4 linked regions of the Rattus norvegicus genome follow. The protein of the gene in region 2 binds, or shares a complex with, the protein of the main gene of each other region. Links are inferred from orthologs where the notes say so. Each region holds a gene or a part of one and is shown on either strand. Other genes may lie near its edges.

The links. The genes of interacting proteins can lie anywhere in the genome.
Region 1: Arid1b (region 2) and Smarcb1 share a complex: the UniProt entries of both Homo sapiens proteins name them as parts of the neuron-specific chromatin remodeling complex. The link is inferred for Rattus norvegicus from reciprocal best matches to the Homo sapiens genes ARID1B and SMARCB1.
Region 3: Arid1b (region 2) and Smarcd3 share a complex: the UniProt entries of both Homo sapiens proteins name them as parts of the neuron-specific chromatin remodeling complex. The link is inferred for Rattus norvegicus from reciprocal best matches to the Homo sapiens genes ARID1B and SMARCD3.
Region 4: Arid1b (region 2) and Phf10 share a complex: the UniProt entries of both Homo sapiens proteins name them as parts of the neural progenitors-specific chromatin remodeling complex. The link is inferred for Rattus norvegicus from reciprocal best matches to the Homo sapiens genes ARID1B and PHF10.

What each region holds. Positions count from the first base shown.
Region 1 is NC_086038.1:12,739,515-12,743,747, reverse strand, and holds the start of Smarcb1 (SWI/SNF-related matrix-associated actin-dependent regulator of chromatin subfamily B member 1), read right to left. Parts: upstream 2,801-4,233; 5' UTR 2,605-2,800; coding exon 2,512-2,604; intron 1-2,511.
Region 2 is NC_086019.1:48,295,370-48,299,111, reverse strand, and holds part of Arid1b (AT-rich interactive domain-containing protein 1B), read right to left. Parts: intron 1,774-3,742; coding exon 1,664-1,773; intron 991-1,663; coding exon 832-990; intron 1-831. UniProt on the Homo sapiens protein: Involved in transcriptional activation and repression of select genes by chromatin remodeling (alteration of DNA-nucleosome topology).
Region 3 is NC_086022.1:11,461,958-11,466,075, forward strand, and holds the start of Smarcd3 (SWI/SNF-related matrix-associated actin-dependent regulator of chromatin subfamily D member 3), read left to right. Parts: upstream 1-1,318; 5' UTR 1,319-1,449; coding exon 1,450-1,527; intron 1,528-4,118. UniProt on the Homo sapiens protein: Involved in transcriptional activation and repression of select genes by chromatin remodeling (alteration of DNA-nucleosome topology).
Region 4 is NC_086019.1:64,638,868-64,643,075, reverse strand, and holds the start of Phf10 (PHD finger protein 10), read left to right. Parts: upstream 1-1,408; coding exon 1,409-1,492; intron 1,493-3,262; coding exon 3,263-3,369; intron 3,370-4,208. UniProt on the Homo sapiens protein: Involved in transcription activity regulation by chromatin remodeling. Belongs to the neural progenitors-specific chromatin remodeling complex (npBAF complex) and is required for the proliferation of neural progenitors.

The DNA.
Region 1 (4,233 bases), on a different chromosome or scaffold from region 2:
AAAGATTCTGGACTTGGGCATTCATTTCTTCAAAGTCCTGTGACTCCTGTGGCAAATGACAGGATGACAGGGACATAGTCATATCCGCTGCAGACGTCCTCCCAAAGCAGCTCCACAGAGGTCAGAGACACTGCTAGTGTGCTGCATCTGTCCCATCTGTCTAAAACTGAATCCATCATCCAGACAATACTGCAGACAGAAAATACTATATGACCCTGTGCTCTTCCCAAAATCAAAGCCAGGCTCCAAGGAGTGAGAAACCACCCATTTTGGTCTTGGGGATAACTATTCTCATTCAACTGGGAAGGCAAAGAGTCAAGAGCCCAAAAGGAGGCTGTGGTTGGACTTCTAAAACCGAAAACATTCGATGACAATTACCTCAAGAGACATGTATTTCCAGTTTAAACATCTCGGATGCATGAGAAAAATAAAACCGGTCAAGAGTACTCAGTGCAAGAACACGTGTTCAGTGCGCAAAGGCTCAGGGCTCCCCAGCATGAGAACTGAGGAAGGCAGGAGAAGAGAGTGGCGAGAGGGTAAGGAGGCACAGCAAGCTGTCCCGAGGTTCTTCCCACATGACCAGGAGCTGTCTCTCAATTGCTCCACCAGATACGTATTTTCTTTTCAAAACTACCCCCAGCCTCTTAGAGCTCAGGCCAGATTTACTCTTTCACTGGTCAGTTCAGGGAAGCGTCTTTCAACAAATTCTCCTGCATAGATTGTTCCTTATGTACTGACCTTGCATTTGCACAAATGCCTACTGGCCAACCAGCACCCTTCCGAGCCACAGGAGATGGCCGGGCCCTGACTGCACGTCCCCAGCACTGCCACCTTGGAACAGTAGCAGAGGTGATGGTGGGAACAGTCATGGCAGCCTGCACTTTTTGTTTAATGGAAAAAAGTGAAAGCAGAAATGCTAAGTCTAGATGTTTCTGACAATACTGGTCCCACTACCTGATTCAACCAACACCCTAATGGAGTATAAGACACTCAACAGCTGCCAGGAGGTAACTGCTGGCAGTTTGAAATGGCATTAGTTAGCTCTCTAGGGTGGGCCCTACCTCCTTACACATGCTATATGTCTACTGGTTAATATTCACATATTGAGGGGTTGGGGATTTAGCTCAGTGGTAGAGCGCTTGTCTAGCAAGCGCAAGGCCCCCAGCTCCGAAAAAAAGAAAAGAAAAAAAATTTCACATATTGGAATTTTATGGTTTTTTTTTTTTCTTTTGAGACTACGTAGACCAGGCTGGACTCAAACTCACCCTCTATTCTACCTCTGGAGTGTTCAGGTTAAAGGTGCAGCCTAGTGCTTGGCCACCCACAGCTTAAAATACAAAAACAAAACAAAAACAAAAACAAAAAAAAACAATAAAGAAAAAGAAAGAAAGAAAAGGAAACATAAACGGGATGTGGTGGCACCAAGTGCTTTGATCCCAGCATTTGAGAGGCAGAGGCAGGTGGATTTCTGTGAGTTCAAGGTTAGCCAGGTCTCAAAGGGGAGTTGCAAACCAGCCAGGGTCACACAATGAGATCTTGTCTCAAAGAGAAGGGGGGAGTGGAGACATAAACTGGTTGGCGGTTGCCCTTAGATGGAAGAAAGCTAGTTTGAGACAATCTGTTTTAAAAAAGAAAGAAAAGAAACTTCATACATTTGGCTGGTCTGTAGGTCTAATTGTAGGGTTTTTCTAAGACAGTGGTTCTCAGCCTTCCTAATGCTGTGACCCTTTAATACAGTTTCTCATGTTGTGATGACCCCTCACCATAAAATTCTCCCGTTGCTACTTCATAACTATAATTCTGCTAGAGTTACAAATCATAATGTCACTATCTTATATGCGGGATATCTGATGTGGGAGCCCTATGAAAGGGGTAGCAACACACAAGAGCGAACCTAAGGAACTATGTCCACTTAACTGAACAGGGGCTGTCTCTTCTAGTTATGAGTTATGGGTTAGCGATCCTTAGATTTATCCCCTATAAAGACTCAAAATCAGTTCACAGATCTCCAAAATGTTAGTGCTTCTGGCCTTGGGGCCTCAACCACTCAAAAGCAAACATCCTCCTCCAATCACTTTCTACACATCATAAAACTTATGCTACTGCACTCCACCACAGAAACAAGGACACAAAGGGGAGGAGGTTTTCCTAAGCCTCAGGCTTACAACTAGAGGTTTCAAGACCATGGCAGTGGGGTGCACGAGAGCTGCCGAAGGGCTCAAGGGCAGTACTGCACCTCCAAGCACCCAGGGGCTTCCCAAACATCCTTTTTCCATTTGCCTAGAGTGAACCGGCTCGATGCTCTAAGCTCTAAGCTAGGGCAGATGCTTAGGGTCGGATGTTAAGTGGGTAAGGAAACCTAGAGGCCACGCCCACCAGGCCACGCCCCAGCTGCGAGCACGAGCCCGCCTCCGCGATGAATGGAGGCGCGCACTCGGGGAGCACTGGCCCGCCCCGGGATTCGAGCCGGCCAGCCGCTGCTCGGGAAGCCGAGAACGCGCCGCGGGCTACCTCGGAGCCGATCATGTAGAACTCCCCGTCGTCCTCCAGCTGAAACTTGACGGGCTTCTGCCCGAAGGTCTTGCTCAACGCCATCATCATCATGGCGGCGGGGGAAACTGGCAGCCGGGGTCGAGCTGGAAAGAATCCGGTGGGCTGGGGCGGGGCCGAGGCGCGTCGGACCGAAAGGAACGGAGGCCGGGAGGTGAAGGACGGACAGGGCGAGCCGGGCAAACCGGGAAGGCGCTCGCGTCACTACTAGGTTCTTAAGCCGTCTCTGCGAAGAGCAGGCCTCCCTCCGTGCGCATGCGCGTGGGGGTGCTGACGCTAACGTGCGCGCCGCCGCCTGCGCGAGCGCGTTCCCGCAGGCCCTTAAAGGGACCCGAGCTTCTTTTGCTTCCAGGCGGGTATGGAGGGAAACTTCTCAGCGACAGAAATAGCCACTGAGGTCCTGACTCAGGCGGTGGCTTTTCTAGTGGCACAGCCTGAGATGGCACTCCGCCCTGGGATGAAGGGAATAAATGAGATGTTAAGCGGGGAGAAGAACCGCTCCATCTGGAGCGGGGTGGGCATGGCGACCCCAGGCCGGCCAGGTTCTCCACCCGAAGGTGCGCTAGGAATAGCTAGCTATCCGCTGCAGGCCCACAGCTATTCCCGAGGCAGTAGGGATGGGAAGAATAACAGTACTGGATGGAGGTTGGTACTATTCAAAGATCTATATAATGTGCCAGGTGACCGGGAAGAGACACTTGCCTTCCTTCCTTACCTCTGCAAGCTTGGTGCCCACAAGCCCAGTCCTGTTCTGTGCCTCTGCCGGCCTTGGGCCTTAACAGCCCCGAGGCAAGACAGAGCTTCTGGAAAGTGTCCAAGCAGTCCACCCTCTGTTGAACAGAGCCTTGACTCCAAAATGTTTAAGTAATGTTTATTGTAGCGCTATTACAATAGCTTAAGTTATAGCCCAGCCTAGGTAGAAGAATGGTTGAAGAAAATGTAATCTAGGCAGGGTGTCGTGGCTAGCCCCAGCACTCGGGAGGCAGAGACAGGAGGATTTCTGTGAGTTATAGGCAAGTCTACACAGTGAGTTTCAGGACAGCCAGGGGTAGGTAGAGAAACTGTCTCAGAAAAAAATAAAATAAAATAAAGCAAAAAGAGTGAAATGTGTGTACACGACGGAATTATTTTTTCAGCCCCCAAAACGAAATCGTTTTCAGGAAAATGGATGCAACTGGAGATAATCGTATTAAATCAAGCCAGTCTGAGAAAGACAAATAGGTTTTCTCTCCTTTGTGCTTTCTAGATTTCACATAGATTCATAAAATATGTACTACACAGAACATGAAAGAAAAGTGACATTGTGTATGGGAGCAAAGGGACTAACAGGAGAGGGAGGGGGGATAGGGGAAGTGGGGTATGGGAGGGGGAGGATGTACAAAATATAAATACCTTTAAGAAAGTGGAAATCAAACTGGCCAGTTTCATAAGGGTCAGCCTAATGAGACCATAGTTGTGACTAGGGTCCTTAGGAAGGAGATGTTAACTAGGAAGGGCCGTGGTAACCAGGAGTTTGCCCAACTGTCCTCACAGCCACGGGAACCAGAGTGTTAAGGGCCAGGCATGGTGGTTCACACTTTTAATCCCAGAACTCCAGAATCCTAGGCAGGCAGACCTCCGTGAGTTCCAGGACATGATGTGTGAGACCATCCCTTCCCCCAGGTAATTAGGCACGATCGGATA
Region 2 (3,742 bases):
CCTTTAAAGATCTTTTGATTCCCTATGAGTGTATAGGAAAAAGGTCACTGTAACACACTACTTATTTTTATTGGTACAGTGCAAATTTTTAGAAGGAGTAAAGTCCAACTCGGCGACCAAAGAGCATTTCCTGGCATGCACACAGCGTTGCTGTCATTTATACAGCACACCTATTTCTAGACTGCTAGCATTTTGTGTGGAATGGGTCCTGTCTCTCCTAATGGCTCTGATACACACACACACACACACACACACACACACACACACACACACACACACACACACACATATTCTTAGTCTAAAAATTCACATGCACTAACATTTCCAAATCTCTGTTAATTTCAGACATACAGCGAGGCAGGGCTGTTGTTATGCTATGCTGTGCCCGCCTGCAATATTTATTCATTTGGGGAGGCAGCTTTAGACTATGTTTTAGATGTAACAGCCCATGACAGAGTTAAACCGAGAGACAAGTGTGCCGTTTTCTCATGACCTCTATTAGTCCCCACCAATAGCAGCAGCTGGCTTTAGAGAAGCCTTCTATGGCTCACAGCCCACACTTCTGGAGGAGTCTGGGCCCCCAAAGCAGCAGCACACCTCCTTGTGGAGGTAGGCCTTTACCTCAGAGCAACTGCTGATAATGCCAGAAAGATCTATGCTACATATACATTTGTTTTGTTACTAATGTAATTACTTATTTAAAAGAAAGCTTTTTTATGGAGCAACAACTCAAGAGTTTTACAAAGCAAACCACCAAACAATAAAACATAATTCAGTATCTGCCCTAAATCCAAAAATAACAAAGAGAGACAAACAACCAGGGCCACTTACAGGGCTTGATGGAGTCTTGGGCCAGCCTGGGCTGCTAATGCTATCACTCTCATCTCCGTGAAAGGAGGAGATGCTGGCAGAGCTGGGGGACATTGGGGAAGGGACTGGCAGGTTGCCTGGAGTTGGAGGCTGAGAAATACCCTGAGAGCTGTAGCTATCCTGTGGGAGAGGAACAAAAATAAAACAACAAAGTTACGTCAAACTTTATTTAAAACAGAAGTACGTCCAGTTTAACTGACTAATTGTGTATGTGTGCATGTGTATCTCTCTATATATCACAACTGTATATATAAAGACACGTACACACACAGCCCCCAAAGTACCAAAGTATTCTTAGCATGGTTGGTCACTGGTCACTGTGAGGGATGCTGGAAAGGCCACAAAGCCACCATGCGTACTCCAGCTTAACTGGAATACTAGCTACGGATTACCCATATGTAAGAGAGTGAAAGAAAGATAAAGCACCATCTCCCTTATTTATGAAATACGGTAGGGAAGCAAAATAATATGGATGTGGTTGCTGAGGTGGGTGGCCAAAACAAGAAGCTCCAAACTAAAGGCAGAGAAATGACTCCAAGGGTCCACACCAGGCAACAGAGATCCCTTGCTTCCCCCACAGGCACCTCTCAAGTAGGTTTTGTCCTCCCCTCCCCCATGGTGATTTAACACTGTAAGAACCAGTAACTTTGATATTCACATCACAGGGGATATGCAGTAGGATAGAAAAGACTGCACACATGTGCAGGGAGGACCGTGGCGTGCGGGGAGGACCGTGGCGTGCGGGGAGGACCGTGGCGTGCAGGGAGGACTGTGGTGTGCGGGGAGGAAGTACCTTTGACTTGCTCTCAGGCTGGGGCACACCTTCTTCTTTGCCATCTGCTTTAAGAGGCACGGACAGTTTGGACTCACTGGGAGACATCATATCTGTAAGACCCATAGATGCTAATGGAAAATAGGAGAAAATCCGAGTTACACATGAGGTGTACCATGGCACCCCTGTTTACATGAGCTACTGAGTGAGGCACCAGCACCCAAGCTTCCCCTGAAGGAGAGAAAGGGGCAAAACAGACTAATCAAACAATCAGAAGAGTCATGGGCTCCTGAAGCACACTGATATATGAAAGAAAGGCTACACAGGGGGAGGGGCAGATTCTGTATGCTCAAGAGTCCCAGACGCTGGCTAGTTTATAATCGTTTTCTCTTTACCACAGCTTAAGCAGTAGTCATCAAGTCCACATGAGCGTCCTGTGCACTGCTTGCTCATGGGCTGGCAAGCAGCTTGCGTTTATCGGGGCTCTAGATGGTCTGGCCTTCTATTTCCTCAGCTCAAGTAATCTCTGTCCACAAAACCTTAGCTACTTCACATTGTCTAGTCTACAGCACAGGAGGAGCCGGATGAGGACTTAGGGGAAGGTCCCTATGACTTTACAGTGGGCCGCTGTCCCTTCAGCGGGCACAGAGCCTACAGTTACTAACCCTCCATAGGAGATGAAATAAATGCCCATAGCAGCTCCTGATACAACCTACACTTCCTATCTTCAGCTAAGAAATGCAGCCAGCTCCATCTAGGCCCTGTTAAAGTTTCAGACAACAATCGACTCATACATACTCATTGAAGACACCAAAAGACATGCTCTGAAGGCTTGATTTCTTTTTAAAAGAAGAATCCAACCATGGAGGGCAATCAGTGTAGTTATTGAGGGAACAGAGCTGAATTTCCATAGACCCTTAGAGAGCCATCTAGCTGCACATCCCTGCCCTAGAGGTTCTGAGTGCATGTGTAAAGAACAAGTGGAAACTGAGGCAGCGATCTGCACTCACTCCCTCCCTGTCAAGATGACAGAACTCTGAGGTTTCATAAGCAGGACCTGCTTCAGATGCTGCCATGGTGAGTGTGGACTCAGCCAGGCAGAGTAGAAAGTAGAAAGAAGGAAAAGCAAACCAGCCTGAATCAGACTCTGCAGATCGCCCACTACAAAACGATCACTGCACATATTCATGTATTACTAGGTTTTAGAAAATAATTAGTTTTAATTACAGCGGGGAGAGAAGGAGCGGGCTCTGGTGAGTTAGCTGGCAAGCTCCATGGTGCTAATTTGTTATTATCGTTAGCATCACTGCAGGTTGAGACCGTAGGTCCTGCCAAACAAGCCTACCCTGCCATGTGCCCTGGAGTTGACGTCAGTGCACGGTACCGTGCTCCGACCCTGTGCTGCCACAGGCACACTAGCTGGGTCTGTGGAGTTGGTTTGCAGCTCAGTCAGTCCTTAAAGGCACCACGACACACACAAATCATAATTGAGATGCTTTTCTCTTTTTTTTTTGAAATTACTTTCATACTTATACTTTAAGAACTGGAACAAAAAGCCTTTCAAGTGATGCAGCTGCAGAGAAAAATCTATTGGGATCAGCTAAAAATGTGTTATTTCTGTGAATGTGTGAAACCTCAAAAAAAAAAAAAAAAAAAGGGCAGCTGAGTGGTAGATTCTACGGCAGAGACAGCCCTGTGCAGAGCAGCAGCTGCTTTCATGCGGCTTCTCTGCAGGGCCCGCCGAGGCAGGAGGTAGTGGCCTGGCTGAAGAGGGGAAAGCAGTGCAGTGCATGGACGTCGGGTGCTCTGGCTCTTCTGCAGAGAGGGAGGAAGGCCATATCACATGGCTTCTATCAAATCCTGCGCTCCAGAGGCCAGAGTGGACTGTGTTGCCAGTATTTGTAAGTTATGTCTGGATATCATTTTGGCAGTAAGAATAGCAATATGTTTCCACACATATTACATACTAATGCATTTCACACATTAATGCACACAAAAGTAATTTTAAGCAGAAAGAGCTAAGCCAATTGTATTACAATAATCAGCAGTAATTTGCACTGATTCCATAATCAGACTCAGAGGACTATAAGCATATGTGAC
Region 3 (4,118 bases), on a different chromosome or scaffold from region 2:
TAATCTGTTCCCACAAGTTCCCTCAGGCATTGCCCCTCCCTCAGTCCCACCCCCAGCTAGCCCATTAACGTGACCCTTGGTTGTCTCAAAGCTCGGGGACTCCTCCTCCTGAAGGTGTGGACAGGCGTGGCTTGTGGCATGGGCGGGGCTTGGGCTCAACCTAGGGATTTCAGGATCTGCCCCCTCCTTTCTGTTCTTCCTCCCCTCCGGGATTGGCCAGTTCTCTCCACACTGTCCCATTTGGGGTTTCTTCATCTTCATACACCACACTCCTGCTTTCTTTTTGGTTCTGGGGCGGACTTCACGAACCCCAGACTCTGCGTCTCCACGCCAAGCCATCAAGCCCTGTTTGCCTCACCCTTTCCTCCTACCCACCCAAGTACCCACCCTGGATCCGCGCCATTCCTCACAATGTACTCCTCCTGTTCTCATGAGCCCAATCCATGTCCCCCTTTCGGAAATACTTCCCCTATTGCCCTCACTTTCTCACACAGAGTCAAACAAAGACTCACGAGCCCAGAAATAAACTCCCACAGAGCTGAAAGACACGGGCCGTGTCCTGCTCCGCACGCACGCGCGCAAGCTCGGCGGCTCTTGTGGAGGGAAGCACACCGACGGGGCGTTTGTCAGTGCACGCACATAAACATCCACACCCACAGCCTCTGCGCCGTGCCACAAAAGGGTGCAGACACACGGTGTGCGAGACAAGGGCACACACATCTGCGGGCGCCCAGGAGCCCGCCTAGCCCGGCACACCCACCGCGGCTGGCCCTGGGACAGGAGCAAGGCCTGCTCCGGGCTCGGGCTCCCCCCAGATTCCTTGCAGCAAATGTTTCCCTACTTGGCCTGCCTGGTCCCTGGGGAAAGGGCCTCAGAAATGCGGCAGGAGCCACTTGGGGAAAGAAAGTTGGAACTGCCTGTTCCCTGCCTGGCCCTGTCGGCGAATTCCCTAACCGAGAAACTATTTGTGGCGAGGGCAGGGTGGCTAGCGAGCCCCCTGTCACCTCCCATGGTGTCCCCTCCCCGTGCCACCACCGATGGGCCCCGGGCGGCCTGGGCGCAGCTGAGCTGCCCATCGCGCAGCCTCCGGGCAGATCGGCTCGTCTCGCCGCTTCTGTGCGCCGCTTGGACCACGCGGAGTGCACGGAAGGGCCGCTCTGTCCCCGGCGCGTCGCAGGCAGACCCCGGGCCGCCGGACTATTTCTGTCTTATCAGTGCAGGAATGCGGCAGCCGCGGCGGCGGCGGCGGCGGCGGCGGGCGGGCGGCGGCGGCGTGGGCCGTGGGCCGTCAGGGCAGCCCTGAAGGGGCCCCCTCCCCACTCCGCTCGAGTAGAAGTGTGAGAGAGCCCAGCAGGACTCAGAGGGGAGAGTTGGAGGAAAAAAAAGGCAGAAAAGGGAAAGAAAGAGGAAGAGAGAGAGAGAGTGAGAGGAGCCGCTGAGCCCACCCCGATGGCCGCGGACGAAGTTGCCGGAGGGGCGCGCAAAGCCACGAAAAGCAAACTTTTTGAGTTTCTGGTCCATGGGGTGGTGAGTGGGGGAAAGTTAGCGGGGGAGGGTGAGCGAGCTGGCTCGGGCTGAATGGAGGGATGATCGGGAGGGGCCGCCGGCGCGCTCCCGCTCTCCCACCCCTTTGGTTGGGGGGCGCACGGTCACGGCCCAACCCTGGGACCTTGCCGGCGCCCTGGCATCCGAACACGTCGCCAAGCGGTCGGCTGGGGATGGGCGCGCGGCGGCTGGGAAGAGAGGCGTCGGCTTGGGTTCTTATCAGGGGCAAGGGGTGGGATGTGGGCACCGTGTCTCCCCCAAGAGGGGGGTCCCCTCAGTAACTGACATATCTCACATTCTTTTACTGGTGGGCTCAGGTGTTACCCCTGCCCTGGGGGTGGGGGTGGGGTGGTGATTCGAACACACAGCTAGGGCTGGGCTGCCTGTTGTCCCTGTTCATCCTTTGGGACAGGGTCACTCTGATTAGGTCTGAAGAACTAAGAGCAGGTGACCCTGAAGGCACCTAAGAGCCAAAGCTCTCTGGCTGAGCAACCCCTGCATCCTAGCAGGAGGGCCTTGAGTACTTGGCCCCGATGTCAGAGCTGAGAGAGGCCTACTTGAGAGACCCCAAGTTAAGCAGTCAGAGGACCTCCTTGGCAGGCTCAGCCACCAGAAAGTTGATGACCTTAACACCTCAAAGGTGTGAGGGAGGGGCTGGAGTTGGGGACATGAGGCCTAGAGACCAAAGGGATAAGACTATACTTACTGTTCTAACACCGACACACCGACACACACACACACACACACACACATACAGACACACACACACACACACACACACACACACACACACACACACACACACGAAGAGTCTGAGGGTACTCAGGGACCTAATGAGGTAGACACTTGAATTCAGTTAGCAGACAGAGCGCCTGGCTATGAGGAGCTCCAAGCCTGGGCACATGGAGGGAAGAATCAGTCAGATTCACTATGATCAAATTTGGTTGTGACCCCTGGAAGCACCTTTTCAGTGAGAGAGGCAAGGGCCCCCAGAATCTGACCTCTATGAGGGGGTACTAATGGCAGGCCTCTGGGATCCCCTAGAAGGCTTCTCCTCAGGGCCTCTCAGTAGACCAGACAGTATCAGTGGCCTTGATGAATAGGAGAGCAGTTGATAGGGAAGAGGGCTTCTCTGTGGCAGCCTGTTCTAGCCTTAGGGATATCTGGGGTGTAATTTCCAAGACAGCCCTGTGGACTAGTGGAGTTACCAGTCCTGACCTGGCTGCTTGAGTAGTCGCTTGAAAGAGTACGACCCCATGAAGAATTAATTGAATATGGCCACCTTGGAGGTTCAGTTCTTGGATGATGATTAGGGCCCCCTCTATAGTCATGAAGGGTGGCTAGGCCTGAGCTTCTACCCTGGTGGCATTGGTGCTGTGAGTGACAGAGCCAGGTGGAGTGGGGGTGGCAGATTCAGGGACAGGCCAGTTTCACTGCAGAAGAGATGAGCAGAGACAGCTGCTGGCTATGGGTGGAGACCTTAGGGGTAAGCAGTGTAAGAGGAGAAAGGAAGCCTGGGAGTTAGGGTTAAGGCTTCTTAGTCTGGGGGCAAGATGAGGGCGTGCGTGCCTGCCTGCGTGCCTGCGTGCTCGAGGGCGCATGCGCATGGTCTTCAGTAGCCCAAGCTGGCCTCAAATTCACTATATATCAGTACTTGACTTCCTGCCTCCACCTCAATATTGGGATTACAAGTGTGTGCTATCATGTGCAGTTTATTTGATACTGGGGATCGAACCCAGGTCTCCACATGTGTTGCACAAGCCCTGTACCAAGCTACATCCCTAGCCTGAGATGGGGGTGTTTAAATAGGGTTTTCATACCTCTCTCCCTAATACCCTTCCTGTTCTTCTGAACTCGTCCCACCTCCTGACTAGTCCCAAAACCTCAGCCCCCTTCCTGGGCTTGGACAAGTGAAATCTGTAACACTTCACTCACATTGGCATCTCCTCTGTTTTGATTGACTGAGTAGAGGTGGTGGCCGGGGAAAATCAATCTGCCTCATTTCCCTCCAATTTCTACCCTTCCTGGGATTGGGTGGGGAATGGGTTGACTCTTATGTGATCAGATGGGAGAGGGAATGAATGCTGCTACAGATGCTGCTTCCTTCAACCGTCCCTGCACTGGCAGCCCACTTCTAGTCCAGTTCCCCACTTGCCACTAGGCAGAGTCTGATGACACCAGACCCTCAGGTGCCCTTGCCTCTTGTATCACCTTGGGAGAAATGACATTAAAGAGGCAGGCTAAGTCGGTGGGTGTGGAGACCTGGAGTTAGCTGAACCAGTTATGTTTGAGATTGAGGTGCCAAAGCCGGGGGCTCTGAAAGGGAGATGGGGGCTCAAGTACAAAGCACATCAGCCCCAGAAGTGGGGTGTGGAAATTGGGAAATGAGAAATGAGGACAGGAAATCAGCCCCTCACCGCAGCGAAGCAGCGGGGAGCAGGGCCGGTCAGGTGCTGCCTTTGCCGGGAAGAGCAGGGTGACCTTGGCGAGGTCGCTTTTTTCTTTGAGCCCCAGTTGCCCCATCTGTCAAGTGGGGATGAAAAGACCTGCTCTGACTGGCTCGCAGAGAGCCG
Region 4 (4,208 bases), about 16 Mb from region 2:
AAGGGAACTCAAATTCTGAAATCCAAGAGCTAGATCATCTTTTCTGATCTGGTCCTGTACATTCTTGGAAGAGTTGTGGGGAGTGTTGTGGATGGGGGCTGGGGAGCATAGGGGTGCTTCTCTGTCCCTTGCCTTTGTCTATTGGACCTGTTGTCTTCCTGGTGCTCCTTTCAAAGGGTGGGGTCCGGCCTTTCAAAAGGCGAAGTCTAAGAACTAGGATCAATATAAATCCAAGCACACTGGCTTTCATTTCCCAGGGATTCCCAATCCTGTGTCCTGCAGGTGATTATGTTTTCTGACACTGTCATATGGTTTGGGGGACCTTCTCTATGTTCTTGCCTGATTGGGTCCTGTTCAGCCAGAGTGCTGCTCTGACTTTTCTCGTGGCCACTACACCTAGGTTTCGGGAGTGGCAAATGTAGAACAAAGGAGCCAAGGGCGCCTTGGGGACCCAGAGGTGTGCGGAGTGAAGATGGCGGGGTGGGGAAAAGGCACTACAGGAGAGGGGATCTCAAGGAGAGAGGAGGCGGAGCTCCTGGGGTGGTTGACCCTCAGGGCTGAGGAGAGAGGAGGAAGTAGACTGAGGACTCAAATCCTTCAGTTACAGAAGGGAGCGCAGACACTGGTGGAGAAGGGGAAGGTGGCCGCGGGTGTGGGGACCCCAGGCTGAGGGGAGGGGCTGGGACCGGTGGTGGGAGGATACCACGTAGCGGGGACCCTTGATTCGGGGTGGGGGCGGGAAGAGACAGCGTGGTGGAGACCCCTGGCTGAGGGGAGGAGCTGGGCACCGGTGTGTGTGTGTGTGTGTAGGGGTGGGGGTTGGAGGACACGCGTGGTAGGGACCCATCTTTCACGGGAGGAGCTGGCGACCCAGGTGGGGACTAGGCAGCCGCCGCCGACTGAGGACCCCCGGCTGACGCGCGGCGGAGGAGGGGAGGGGGCGGGACCGCGGCGGGGCGGGGCGGCGCGGAGCCGCGGCTGACGCGAAGGGCCGGGCTGGGGGCGCAGGGAAGGGGCGGCGGCGAGCTCGCCAGGCGGCCAGGAACCCGGGTCGGGCCGGGGCCCGGGCCAAGGCGGCAGCTGGCCAGCGGAGCTCAGGCCGGGCGCGGCGGGCCGGGTGAAGGCGGCAAGGCGGCGGGCCCCGGCCCAGGCCCGTAGAGCCGCGCAGCTGCAGCCGGCTGACGTGAGCGGCGTGCGGGTCCCGGCCGGCGGCGCGCTGGCGGCCATGGCGGTGGCGCTGGCGGGCCGCGGGGCGCGCGGCGGCAGGGGCCGGCCCCCGGGCGGGCGGGCGGAGGGGGCGGGGCCGGGGCGCCGGGCGGCCCGCGCGACAGCGGCGGCAGCGGCGGCGGCGGCGGCTGGGACTAGGCGACGGCGGCGACGACGACGGAGGCGCGGGGCGCTGGGGCTGATGGCAGCGGCCGGGCCCGGGGCGGCGCTGTCCCCGCGGCGGTGCGACAGCGACCCGGCCTCCCCCGGAGCGCAGTCCCCGAAGGTGAGCGGAGCGCGCTGCCCAACGGCTGCAGCGGCCCGGGCCGGGTTCGGGAGCGCAGTGGGGACAGGACGGCGGGTCCCCAAGCAACAAGTGCGGCGAACGGTGGGCGCGGACCTCAGGGAGACCTGCGCGGCGGGTGGGAAGTTGTCGGGGAGTAGTAGGGACCGGAAGACTCGCGAAGAGTGGTTGAGACGGAGCGCCCGCAGCCTGGGGAAGTCAGAAAAGTTGCGGCCTTTTGGGATCTCAAGTCCAGGAGACGCTGAGCGGGGCGTGCGCTCGTGGTCCCGAGTTGGCAGAACGTGGGTTCACACCCACAGACTCGGCCAGCCGAAGTGACCCGTCCACGTGCCCGTCCCTCCCCGCGGGGCCTCTGTCTGCTCCCCTGTGAACCTCACTGTGGCCGGGCCCGAGTCAGAGCAGCGCCCGGGGGCTGCTGGCTCCTGGCCCCGACTGAGGACCTTGCAGAGAAGAGGGCCTTACCTGGAACGTAGCCCTTAGAATTCATACGGTTGTGAGCTGTTAAACTCTGTGTCAACTTCCATTATTGTTTCTTTTCGAATGGATCATTGTTTTTAACTAAAAGCGTTTTTAAACAGAAATCTTTAAAATATTCACAAATTAGTAAAATAGCGCTTAAAATGCTTCAGAGCTTAAAATGAACCTTGTCAAGCAAGTATGGAATATGAGTACTGTGAAAAATTAAATATTAAATATTATCTTTCAACTTGTTTTTTAGTTTTAAAAAGGAATATTAAGTTTGTTTACTTGACTTCATTTTTGATGAGTGAAAAGGAGAATGGTTTCTTTTTTTTTAATTTGAAAAATAATTTTAGTAAATTCCTAGGTGCTAGAGACATAGTGAAATGTAAAATCACTGCTAACCTCAACGTTAACATATATCAGTTATGCACTAGCCCTTGCTCTTCATGTGCTCATGTATCACTTCACTGAATCCTTGCATCAGCCACCTAGGCTTTCAGACAGGGAGAAGCTGGCAGGTTACCACACAGCTGGTGGACAGCTGCTCCATACGACTCCAGGCAGCCCACAGTGGCATGCTGACCTGACGTGCTGGCCTGTGCTTCCTTTTTATTTTCTTTCGCGGGTCCTTATTGAAATATATAGTAAGATTAGTAGTGTTAAGAGCTATAGTACCTTGATTTAAAGAACTATGAGCTGAAGCCATGAGCAATATGTAAATGAATTATTTTAAAAACATTTGACTACTTCTTTCCTTAATGGAATGGCTCAACAACTTATATCTTCTATGAGCTTATCACAATGTGCTGAATTTCTGCTATAGAAGAAAAAGAATGTAGTTAGACTTGGTAACCTGTGTCCAGTCCTTCATCTGCAAAGTAGCTAATTAGAATGTGATCTGGTAGGCCAGTTGTAAATGGAAGTGTGCTACAAAATTTGTTAGTATTTATTTCCCAGCTCAAATAGGAAGGCTTACTTTGATTTTAAAGTGGTTTTGCTATTAAAAAGCAGAAGACATTTGAACACAACCTAGTTGGTAAGAAAATGAAAGCAGAGTACATTTAAAATATAGTTGAAAATCAATTTTGTTTAGATTGAAGGTCAGTTTTTAGATTTATTCCATTTCTTATAACAAATTCTCTGTCCTTTTAATTATTCTAAAATTAAGTTTTCTAAGGACACTAGGTAGAAATGTGCTTTCTCTTGTTGATATTTAGGCAGACTGGAATGATACAGAATCACTCTTTGTTTTTAATTCATTTTAACATTTTCCATTTTTTTAATGTACAGGATGATAATGAAGATAACTCAAATGATGGGGGTCATCCATCTAAAAGAAGACGAATGGGTTCAGGGGATAGTTCAAGAAGTTGCGAGACTTCAAGTCAAGATCTTAGGTACTGCTGCTTTAAGGCTCAGTAGTGACTTCTGTAAACTGTTTGCTCACTTCTTCTTTCCTATCCCAGGCAGCATGAAAAGTTATTAAAAATTATATGTATGGGCTGGAGAGATGGCTCAGAAGTTAAGAATGCTTGTCTAACTGGAGATTGGTTACCAGCACCCACCTCCCCCAGTCTCCTGTAAGCTCCAGAGGCGCTGATGTTCCATTCTGTCCTCCACAGATGTTTGTACACATATACACAAAGCAAGCAAACAAACAAATCTTTAAAAAAGAGTCATATAATATAATATCGAAGTTGGTCTTGCTCCTGAGAACTATTAAAAAAAACAAACGATAAAATAGGTACATAAAATACAGCCATCGTAACACTTTTTATATATAAGAAGTATAGTTCAGTGGCATTAATTACATTTACAATATTGTGCAACCATCACTCTCACCCCTTTTCAAAACTTCAGTAGTGAAACTGCAGAACCCCCCAGTACCTCCTGTTCCTTCCTGCCCCCTGCTGCTGGTTGGTTACCAACTAAGTTCTCCTTCCTGCCCCTGACTGTGAACCATACAGTGCCTATCCCTAACCATATTATCTTCAAGGTTCATCTGTGTTGGAGGTCCTGAAGTCTGAACGATATTCCACTGTATGTGCTGCTACATTTTGCTTATTCCTGTGTATGCCTGCAGGCTGGGGTAATTAATGCTGAAGTGAACACTGGCGTTCAGAACCCTTGCTCTTAGTACCCTGGTATATAGCTAGAAGTGGAAAGCTGTACCATATGGTAATTCTGTGTTCAGCTTTTATAAGGACCTTCCATACATTTCCAGTGGTACCACCAT